Linked DNA regions of Neodiprion lecontei. The protein of the gene in region 1 binds, or shares a complex with, the protein of each later gene. Links are inferred from orthologs where the notes say so. Each region holds a gene or a part of one and is shown on either strand. Other genes may lie near its edges. The genes, in order: negative elongation factor B and negative elongation factor E.

Region 1 (6,934 bases):
GAAGTCACAGAGAGCCCGAAGAATTTCTACCTTTTGGCGTAGTGGCAAAAGCTCAAAGTCTACATCCGTATTGAAAGGATTATCTCTTCCATATTCCTGTAATGAAAGATAGCTCATAAATTCTGTTCAGTTGTATAACCTGTAGACTCCAAAATATTTTGAAGAGAAAGTGTACATCAAATTTTCAATTACATTGACAGTAATTGTCTAGCACCCTGGATAAAATTGATAAAGCTTATGAAACGAGTAAATTCAAAAGTAGCACAGTCAGGCTCTCACTTTTTTGGTACTAGTTACTTTATTTACTCGTTGAATATATTATTGTACTATCAATCGGAGTACTGTTCACAAGACTGATTTAGATGGTGTAGTTCATATCAGAAATGAGGAATTGGTCTTTCAGACATCAAATTTTAATGTACATACTCTAATCTACTTTGGAAGCTAGACACTCACTTGACACTTTTTTCTAAAGAGTCTACGGAGGAACATCTGATAATTAAAAGTAGAGATGTCATTGCGAGTGTCATTTGGTAGACAGCCTTCAAGTAATCTGACAATTAGTTCTTGCAATAGCCGGCCTTCTGTACCGCCGTCTGTGAGAAGAGCTTCTTCCAAATCCTGGAAGAAAAATAAGTGCAAATATTTCCATTTTCTATTAATGAATCATTTCAAAGAACAGAATTAGACAGAACGATTATGATGATAGAAATTGAGTTTAACCAAACAGGAAATCCTGCCTCAAGAAACAATTATAGTAAAATTCTATAAATTCTATTTGATTTAGCTAATTCGATACACGACTTTTGCATTGAACTAGATACCTCGATGTCAAAGTCCAGCAGATTGAAGGCAGCCCTAAACAATGAGCAGAAATGTGCGATACTTGGCACCTCCCACCACGATTGAATGTCTGGAGACAGAAACAAGCGAGTAAAAAATTTGCAGCAAGTTTTTAAATAACACAAGATTGGTTATTCAACTCTGGAGGTTTCAGGAAATTGTAAAACGTTGAGTCGACCAGGTATGATTGGAAAACTGACACATATCTAGCGGCACATCCAGTAGAAAGTAGAACACATCATTGATTCTAGTTACAGTTTGGTAAACGCTGTTCAAACTACTACGATTGACACAGGCACGATTCACTTATCATCACATCTGTCACTGGAAGATTCTTTCTCGTTTTGAAGGTAGAACAAAAAAAAAAAAAAAAGGAAAACAAAATAAGTGAACATTAGAAATGTGCGGATTTCATTTCGCGCTCAGTCGTTTTGAAATGCAAGTTCTGTGTTTATTCTCGACTGGATAACACTAATTGATTCCGGTAAAATGCGTCCGATTTTTGGTTATCCTGTCGGTTGGTACGCGGCGATGCTAAACTGAAGTTGGCTTCGGATATATTGGGCTCACCTAAAATCCCGATGAAAGTCGGAAACATAACCTGTCGAGGAAGGCAGACGGGTGCCACCACCCCAGTAAACGGAATTCCACCCCACAACAGCAGCCAGCAGCAGCAGCAGCAGCAGCAGCAGCAGAAAGAACGATCGCTCGACCGATCGGTTTTTGCGTCCAATGCACTTTTGAATTGGTATAAATTTTACACAGATAAGACATCGGGAACGGCGAACATGCTAATTGAGTAACTCGCGTTTCTACGTATATCAATTCAGCGTGACATTGTTGTATCGTACTTGTTCAACCTGTTTAAAGTTAGAAAAAAAACGAATTTATTTTCGCTTAGTACCCCGTTGTTGCAACCTGACGCGCGCGACACTTGCGGCCATCACGTTGCATTACTGCCAAATATACTAGGAGAATCAAAGACAGGAGCGAGATCAAAAATACGCGGTCAAAATTTACTATAAATGGGCGCGCAATCGAGCTGATTCATCTTTTTAGCATATCATTTTTTACACGATTACCAGCAACGCTACAAACAATCATAAAAAGTGTCGCGGCTTTTAAATTTAGCGTCACAAGTTTGAATTTGACTGACAATTGTAGAGGTATAGTATGATATCCTTGTATACATATAAATATAGCTAGACCGTTGACGACCGACTAGACTATAGTCAACTATAGTGCGTCGCAGTGCGTCGGATCAGATAAATAATTTCCATGTCTATTGAGTTGCTTATTTGTTGGTGAATGCTAGACGCCTTATAGGCCATTCATTTCCGTAACATATGTATATAAAACTGCGATACTTTCAGTAAAATACCCGGTAATACCGATTTCTAATTTTTCGGTATTGATACGAATTTTATATTCAACAGGAAGACGGCACAACAATCTTGGAAAGAAGAAAGACTAGTCATTCATAATTCTACTGTTGTAAACAATTGTCGTTGTCCTGCCAGCCGCCAATGTACAACCGTCAAACGTGGTTCAACGCTCAGCTTTGAACAGTTCTGTATTTATTTAGGTTAGGATAGGTTAGGTTAAGTCGGTTTGAATACAGAACCGCTGTCCCTTGATGGAAACACCGTATATTTGTGGGCTGTGAAAATGAGTGCGACCAAAAGTACGGAGGGTACGGGATTAGAGGATCTCGGAGTTCCAGGCCAAGTGTTTCTCAGAGATGCTCTGACCAGTTGCACCGATCCCCTGAAAGCCATTGAGGAGTTCCAGGTAAATACTCGGCGCTATTGTTGACTGGTTAAATCAAGCGATTACAATCTTGGCATGAGTATACTTACTAATCCGAAGATTCCAGTTAGAAAATGGTATTCTATTGCCTTCGTTACGTCCAATGTTACCGCTATTGGACCTCCACGGCGTCAGAAGGCTGGACTTTCACGCCTCGGTATTAGAAGAGCTTAGAGAAAAACTTGTGAAGCGGATAGCCGAGATTGGGGCTGAGCGAGGGGAAAAGGGGGGAAGCGACCGTAGGCTTAAGGATCTGTTGGCCAAGAGCTTTCCTGCCGTTAGAGTTGCCGCGCTCAGGCCAGTCGTTATGTGTATTTTAAGAAATACCCCTCATATCGATGACAAATACCTACGAGTACTGGTTAGGGAAAAGGAACTTTACAATGACGCTGACACGGAGGTGAAACGACAGATCTGGAAGGACAATCAAAGTCTTTTCGGAGATGAGGTATCGCCTCTTTTCAGTCGCTACATCATTGAAAAGGAACAAGTTTTGTTCGATCATCGGAACCTGAATGCCTTATTTTTTTCACCATCGCCCAAGGTTAGTTCTGATTGTGTTTAATTCGGACCAATACGTTTATTATCAGCTATTCAGTTCGAACTTGCTTCCTAACATTCCCCAAGTTGACTTGAACAAATCTTGGTCTAATTCGAAGGTGAGGAGACAAGGAGAAGTGGTACAGAAGCTGGCACACATGATAGGTCACAGCGTGAAACTTTACGACATGGTACTCCAATTTCTCAGGACTCTTTTTTTACGAACTAAGAATATCCATTACTGTACTCTTCGGGCTGAGTTGTTGATGGCACTGCATGATCTAGAGGTTTGAATCAAAAATATCATTGTATCAATTTCTCTTCAAATTAATGAAACAACTGATGATTGGTCTCTAGGTTCAAGATATAATATCTGTAGATCCATGCCACAAGTTTACTTGGTGCTTGGATGCTTGCATCAGGGAGAAAAACGTGGATGTGAAAAGGTCTCGAGAACTACAAGGATTTCTTGATAGCATCAAGGTACGATAGCAAGAAACTATAATTTCAAGCAACGACCAATAAAAATGGATCATTTTTTTTGCACAGAGAGGCCAGGAGCAAGTACTTGGGGATCTCAGTATGACACTGTGTGACCCATACGCCGTGAATTTTCTAGCTAGTAGCGCAATAAAAATAGCTCTTCATCTAATTAACGGGGAAGCTCTGCCACGGGATAACGCTGTCCTTGTTCTACTTCTGAGAATGCTGGCCCTGGGCTTGTCAGCCTGGCAAATGATCGACTCCCAAGATTTTAAGGAGCCGAAACTTGACAGTCAAGTTGTGACGAAGTTTCTGCCAGCACTTATGTCTCTCATGGTTAGTCTGATACTTGATATACGATTTTCCTTGACTCTATATTAATTTTGCAACTGAAACCTTAGTATTACCAAACTGCCGTAACAAATTAACTCCTTTCAAAATAGGTAGATGATCAGATAAGACAATTAAATGGAAAGCTCCCACCAGATGAAAGGGAAAGTGCTATCGCTATTATTGAGCACTCTGGACCACCTCCAGATGCATGTCAAGCTTACGCTCAACTTTCTGGAGTTGCAGCTGTTTTATCCATGTATCACGCTTTATACGTTGGCGGAGGTGGAAGTGGGAGTAGCGGAAGAGCTCGAGGTGATGCGAGAGGCTTAATGCGGGTCTTGGCAACGCTACCAAATTGCCAGGCGCATCGCGCTTTTGAGGATCCATTTTTACACACTCTGGTGAGTTGACAAGTGTCGAGAATATGTTGCACCTGACTGTTACAACGAAATAATCAATCTGCTCCTGGCAAAGGTATCTCTGCTGATCTTAAATATGGCTGATGAGTTTTCCGGTGAATCATTTTGCACCGTCATATTCGACGAATTCTTCCTGGCAGGATTAACAAGGGACAATGTTACGCGACACCTCTTGAAACTTTTATGGTACATTCATCCCAAACTTCCTCCGGCACGATTACATTCCCTGATGAAAGCCTTGCAGCCCAATAGCCAGGTAGGTCTCACGTTACTGGAGTTTCATCGTTAACGTCAATGTCACTTATTTATAAAACTATTATAATTTACAGCACAACGAAGCTGTGCATAGTCTCTATCAATCTCTCCGAGAAAAAATTGGCAGCCAATCAACAGAAGATCTTTTGATATCGTCAACTTCTATGGATACACTTGAATGCCCTGATTCACCACTAGATGTTGTCCCTACACCTGGGCCTCGTTAACTATTTTACATCGACAATAGGATTTTACGGGGTATGCGATGTATTTAGAGTTTTATCATTATACACAAATTAGAATGTATCGCAATTCAATATCAGAATAGAATGTATTAAGAAGCACCTTGATTCAGATGTGTTTTCAATAGATGATAGGCATTTTTATTATTTACTTCCAATGACTTCCTTTAAGGATATCACTAATGTGGAAACAACACTTGTAGCGTGTACAAATACATCGTACATATTTTTTTAATGGTACCATGTCTGACCCATGATATGGTACGTCACCTTGCGTATCCGTATGATTTAAGGCCAAAATGAAACTGTTTAGCGTATCACCCTTTGCCTTTAATCACGGAATCCCTCTTTTCCCCCACTGAAAATTGAATATGATCACAAATGTATCATCAACTGTCAGAAATAACGTGGGTTATCAAAATAATTAGAAAACAATTTTATTTCACAATTTTCATTGCGTGCATCAAGTTGTGTTGAGAATAGTTATCACCTACATTTCGCAATTTACACTTATATGCGATGAACATAACAGAAAATAAAACAGTTGAACGTTCACAAAAATATTCGATTCATTCAAAAATTTGTCTGCCCCATGTCTTATATTTCAACGTCATTACGATGGAATAAAGAAGAAAGGGTTTCGAGGTAATTTCAATGTATACCAATTGTCTATTCAGTTAAATCATAGTTGTCACAATGGTTCTTCGATAATCCGAAATTATTAACATCGGACTGCAAATATTGGGCTCAACCCTTGATACGCTAAAATTATAAGCTGCAAACCCAATGTTATCAGGTGCAAATTTATTTTCGATATAACGTTACTTTTTACGACCAAACGTGCGACTAAATCGAACAGAAATATTGTACATATTTCCTATTCCAATTAATGTTACTGAAGTTTTTGCACTCCCTAACTGTATCAAGTCATGTTACATACCTATATTTTCAATTTATTTTCTTCTTTCCGCTACTAAAATTGGATTTGTCAATATTAGTTTCATTATAATATTTTTAACGTAGAAATGGAGAGTTACTCTGTATCAATCATGTCCACGGAAATCTGTAAGCGCTGTGAAGAATATCATGACATGCTTGTTTGATTACCAACATTTCCAACTTTGACTAAATCGAGGTTGCTTTACAGTACGTTAAAAATATTACCTAAATTGCAACCAAATTCAGAGCGTTTATCCTCTACATATCAGTTGTCATGTACATTATAATTGCAATTAGGTATGTGGATGCAAATAATTTCTACTGAGGGCAGATTAATCGTAAATAAAACATCAAAGGGAAAATGGAAATGTATGTCTCTCTAAATGCCTTAAAACTGCATATTTAGGTATACTTGTATTCACTGCAACGAATTTGCCATTTGGCAAAGTTTCACATCCTATATAGGTAATAAGGAAAAATTGTAGAACTAACTTTATGTAGTTTTCACTATTAACAGCCACTGCCATGCAACCCGTAGTAAATAATAACTAAATCTCTACGATGTACGTGGATGAACACGTGCGTGCGTGTCCAAAGATAAAAAGTCATTAATAGCTACTGTAAATAATTCTTATAAGTAAGAATAGTACATTATGTAACAAGGACATAAAGTCCAATTATTCCCATGGTAAAATGACTCCATAATTTTTAAAAATTTTTTAATCCATTGTAATGTGATGTGAAACGTTTAATCGAATTACATGGCTCTGTCATCAAATGACGCAATATATTTTGTACTGAGTATTAAATAATTTGTGAGAAAATTTATCATATGCGAGGAGTTGAACTAATCTATCGATAGTTGTCACAATTAAGCGATTTTAAATCGAAACGAATGTTTATTACAGTATATTAAAGAACAAATTGTACCTCAGTGATGATATTACGTTACATACACAAGTAAAATATCACTGCTACTTTAGTAACGAAAAGATCACTTGCAGGAAACATTTTGTGCCGCTCTCTCCTGCAAACATCCGCCGAATGAAATTCTTATCTAATAAGCATATC
Region 2 (4,511 bases), about 3.5 Mb from region 1:
TGTACATTTAATATTGCCGCAGTAATATCACTTCGGATATCACAGGGAACACTAATATTTTCTAAGAGAGTTTCCAATGCGGGGTTGCTAAGTTAGTTTTAATATTACTTATAATATCGTCTTTTTTTTTAAGGATATTACGAATGATTTTCGCAACTAGCGTACCGAAATGTTTAGATTATCTGTACTTTACCTTACTTTCGTTCTGTGACTGTTTTAATTTATGTAATTTATGGTATTTTAATTTTCTTTATTTGTTATTGTTACTTGTACTATTCTTTTTGCACTGTCACGGCCGTTCAAACGATGCGAGACGTGTTGAAGACATTCTTTTCTTTCATTACGTTAATCAAACCGGAGAATTAAAAAAGACTGTGATTGCTATTTGAAAAAATTCCAGAAATAAGTTACTATCTGGTGAAGAACAAACAGTTTTTCTTTTTTTTTTTTTTACTTTTGGTCGCAGGCAATTAGAGCATTTTTTAATTCTCTTTAATTTCTTGTTTCGAATATGCCTTACTCTTATTATTTATCTTGCCTAGTGTTCTACGATCTTTTTCTGTTATTTATTTTCTTTGTCTTATGTTAACTATCGCCTTTCTCTTGCTTTTGTGAATTTCGTTGTTTAGCTTTAAACTTTTTTTATTGTATCGAGTCGCTCAACTGAGTTTTGTTTGTTTTGTTTATTGATAATAATAGAATTTGCTGTGGTATTTAGTGTTTTGTCTTATTAAGATACATTATACTGTGTTATATCATACATCGTTTTCATACACATTAGATGCGTTATTGTGAAATATTTTATTGGTTGTTAAAATTTTAATCTTTTATCGTTGTATCTTGAAATGTCATGTCAAAATATCGTCAGAAATTCTCATTATAAATTGCGCAAGGTTCAAATATACGGATTAATATTCGCTAAAGGAAATAATTTGTCTGATTACTTAATCTATTGTTTTATAATCCCCTAAATCCCTCTTGTCTGCCATAAAGCAACGTTATCGCGTTAGCCGAATCGGCCCGTCATGAATTTTCTGAATTATCTATTTTTACTTTTTGTATCGTTAATGTATGCTGCATCTAGTTCCCCAAAAATCGAGTAGTTTTATTTTGTAGCAAATTCTATCGCTAGAAATTGCAGGTCAACAGTGATAATATTTACGACCTTTTTCAATTAAAATTTCAAAGCAACTGTCATCGGGGTAGTTAAGTTTTGTTCATTTAGCCAGATACAATAATTGTGAGTCGAACATTTTAACCGTTTTATTAAGAATCGTTTTTCAATAGAATGAAATATTATTACAATTCGATTCGTATTGATATATTGATGGTTAACACGCCTTCAAATGGACTTAGGATCAGTTACCGGCCGAGTACTAGTTGCAAGCTATTCACTATGGTAAGTATACTCTGTATTATCCACCACTTTTGGGGAGTTTGCACAGAAGGATACCAGTCGGTAATCGATCTGCAATTACCGTCCGGCGTGTCTCGAAAATTAATTTCTAAAACTCACACCTTCCCAGGCAGCGCTATCAAATGAGAGGGACACGTTAGTATAGTTGTATAGAGGTCAGTGTTAGCGGCGCGTCGTTTTGTTGATTCCAGGGTGTCCGAAGGTTATGTGTGTTGACGTTTTGCGCGAAAACTTGTTATATTTCCATCTATTTATGTGTTATTTTTATTCCGTTTATACCAAGGGTTAGCGTATAGTGATATGACAAAATGGTGTACTTACACTTTCCGTCGAATTTAACTGAAGAGGAATTAATGCTGCAGGCTAAATACAACAAACTCAAACGGAAGGTAATTTTTCCCTCGCTTTGCTAGTCCGTACGCAGTACCTAATTTATATTCATGAAAACTTCACTTGCGACTTTTCGTTCTCACGGCTTAATATCAATTAGCTCTTAGACATCGAAGTTACTTAACCTAACTCTAAACTTACCGCTTTTGACGCGGTCCGTGTCGTCTTTTCCAACCTCAAAACTTACGTCAAGGAAGTCAGTTCTTGCAGTCTGTACCTATCTTAATTATATCATTCGCGAGTTGAATATATTTCTGGAAAACTATCTACCCAATGTATCTTTTACTTCTTATGCGAGAAATTAGTTTTGATATCTTAATTCATATAATTATCTTAAACTCTAACCCTGTCTGCTTTCTTTATCAAGAAAAAAGCCTTGCAAGCTCTGAAGACACCTAAACCGGAGCCGGAGCGCATACCTCAGTTACCAAAGAGGCCTACAGAAGCCAGGGATGCTCGGGAAGTTGCTAAAAAATTAATCAAGTCAGGAATCATCCCTGCCATTACGAAGACGCAAAAGCGTCCGGAGCAGTCATTTAAGAGGCCGAGAGGATTGGAAAGGAAACTTAATAGTACAGAAAAAACTATTTGTTCTTATCAACCATTTTCGGCGACGCAACCAGAGGAAGACGATACCGAGGCGTCGAGACCAAGAGTAAAAGACCTATATGATAGTTTTGTCAGTGCTCGAGACCACGAGGAAAGAGGGCTGCCTGACAAACAATTAGGTACGAGGACCGAAGCCAAACCTCGTGCTGGTAACACGATATTTGTTTGCGGACATAAAATATCAGAAGATTTTCTGAAGAAACACTTCCAAACGTTTGGACCGATTGTAAATATTTCTATGGAAACAGAGAAAAAGTAAGCAATACCATTTTTAATACGAATATTCACCTTAATTTGATGGATAGCATAAATATCTTGGATAATTTTGAAAGTGGTTACATTTCCAAGCTTAAAAGTTAAATTTTAAACTTTATGTACCTTTCTTTTTATAAAATTGACAAGTTTTAATGTGAATGCTTGTGGTCGGAAATCTGGATTCGATACAATCATTTTTAGTTTTGTGTTTACATTTTTTGTAACTAAATTCTCAGGGGGTTCTAGATTTTTTAGGTAATAGGTATCTGGCAAATACAAATATATATTATATTTTGAATTCTTATTATTTTAGCCGAGGATTCATAACCTTTGACAAAGCTGAGGTAGCGGAAAGAGCCATCAGTGAAATGGATGGCAGCATGGTATCGTCGATACAGCTGAAAGTGTCTTTAGCGCGAAGGCAGCCTGTGATAGATCCTATTAACGACACGACATCGAGTTCGATGTGGTCATCAGTAGCAGCTAGCTACTCCCAAAAAAGTTCGCATAAGGACAGACGAGATTTAAAGGTTTACGATGAAGATCTCTTTGGATAAATGGACTAAGAAGCTTGATGGGAGTTGTAATAGGACTTTTATAATTGTGCGTTTTACCTGTGAAAATTGAGTGGAGCTGATACCTGGACTTGTGGTGTACAGGTACTCTAGAGAAACGAAGGTAAATTTTTAAATAGCAAAGCTAAATATCGTCAAGTCTACTTGGATATTTACGGAAAAGGAGATTGTTAAGTTTGCCTAAAGTGTAAATAATTTACAGATTTATTAAAACGTAGGTAACCATCAACAATATAATTAATAAACAATAATAATTTGATAAATCAAACTATAGGGTTGCGTACAAATCCACTATCATCATTATATCAAAATAATAGTGCATTAATCTGTTTCGAGGGATACGTGTGGCGTATATATACGAAGCCGTTTTTGTCACATTTTAAATGTTCATGTGCTCTGATAGATTTCTTCATAAATTCGTGCACTGATGATCTCAGCCTCATTGCGGAGGGTTGAAGTAATCCCAATGATGATGATGCGTCACGGTTCTCGGTGACCCAAAACATAAAATGAGGAGGCCAGCTATCAATAGCAGCAGCGCGCATATCGCAAGTTCAATTTCCTTGATCTTTTCGCCACGGTCTTCAGTGCTTACTCTGGAGGCGACATAGCCAACGAAATGCCTCATTGCTCTGGTACCAGCCAATCTAAGAGCCCTCAGTAGCTGCTGGGTCATGTCCATTATACTCGGTTCAGACTCATACCTTGAGTCGATCGGGGATGCTAGGGAGAAGAAGTTTGCTGGAATTTGGGATGTTGGGAACGCCACGAACTGTGTGACTCCGGCAACCTGCTGCCTCAGAGAGACCTCCTCGTCTATGCTTTGAGTGTAAGACACAGTTGCGCGCTGCGGCTGTGCCTGGACTTCTGGTACTGGGCTAGGAACTGGATCGGGTGTGTCAGGTGTCACCGAGATCAACGGCGGTAGCGATTTCACTGGAGAAGCTGTCTGCCTCACAGCTTTTTTTCCGTCTATCGTCGGGGAGGACGACCTCGATCTCGGACACTTACGTTTTTCACATTTGCTCTCGTCTCTGAGAGAGGATTGGCCTTGAATCCGAATCTCTTCTTGGTCAGTGTTCAAGCTGGATACTGTATTAGGTTCGGAAATATTCGGTGGTGCGGAAGCCTTGGCCAGTTCAAGATTTTCGATAATCGGTGGTGACAGAGCTGATTCAACACTTGCAGTTTTTACTGTAGATACCGAGTCGCTGGTGCTTTCAACTTCGGGGACTTTTTCGGGAGTCTTATCGGGTTTTACCGCC

Evidence for each region.
Region 2: negative elongation factor B (region 1) and negative elongation factor E share a complex: the UniProt entries of both Drosophila melanogaster proteins name them as parts of the NELF complex. The link is inferred for Neodiprion lecontei from reciprocal best matches to the Drosophila melanogaster genes NELF-B and Nelf-E.

What each region holds. Positions count from the first base shown.
Region 1 is NC_060261.1:555,945-562,878, reverse strand, and holds negative elongation factor B, read left to right. Parts: upstream 1-1,829; 5' UTR 1,830-2,009; intron 2,010-2,060; exon of another isoform or gene 2,061-2,279; 5' UTR 2,280-2,511; coding exon 2,512-2,634; intron 2,635-2,712; exon of another isoform or gene 2,713-2,719; coding exon 2,720-3,196; intron 3,197-3,311; coding exon 3,312-3,479; intron 3,480-3,549; coding exon 3,550-3,675; intron 3,676-3,741; coding exon 3,742-4,011; intron 4,012-4,118; coding exon 4,119-4,409; intron 4,410-4,482; coding exon 4,483-4,683; intron 4,684-4,756; coding exon 4,757-4,909; 3' UTR 4,910-6,327; downstream 6,328-6,934. Other genes in the region: PHD finger protein rhinoceros, read right to left, coding at 1-96, 457-621, 825-913, 1,414-1,441. UniProt on the Drosophila melanogaster protein: Essential component of the NELF complex, a complex that negatively regulates the elongation of transcription by RNA polymerase II.
Region 2 is NC_060261.1:4,102,749-4,107,259, reverse strand, and holds negative elongation factor E, read left to right. Parts: upstream 1-1,555; 5' UTR 1,556-1,725; coding exon 1,726-1,806; intron 1,807-2,174; coding exon 2,175-2,671; intron 2,672-2,984; coding exon 2,985-3,228; 3' UTR 3,229-3,685; downstream 3,686-4,511. Other genes in the region: uncharacterized protein LOC107223896, read right to left, coding at 3,686-4,511. UniProt on the Drosophila melanogaster protein: Essential component of the NELF complex, a complex that negatively regulates the elongation of transcription by RNA polymerase II by RNA polymerase II. The NELF complex, which acts via an association with the DSIF complex, causes transcriptional pausing.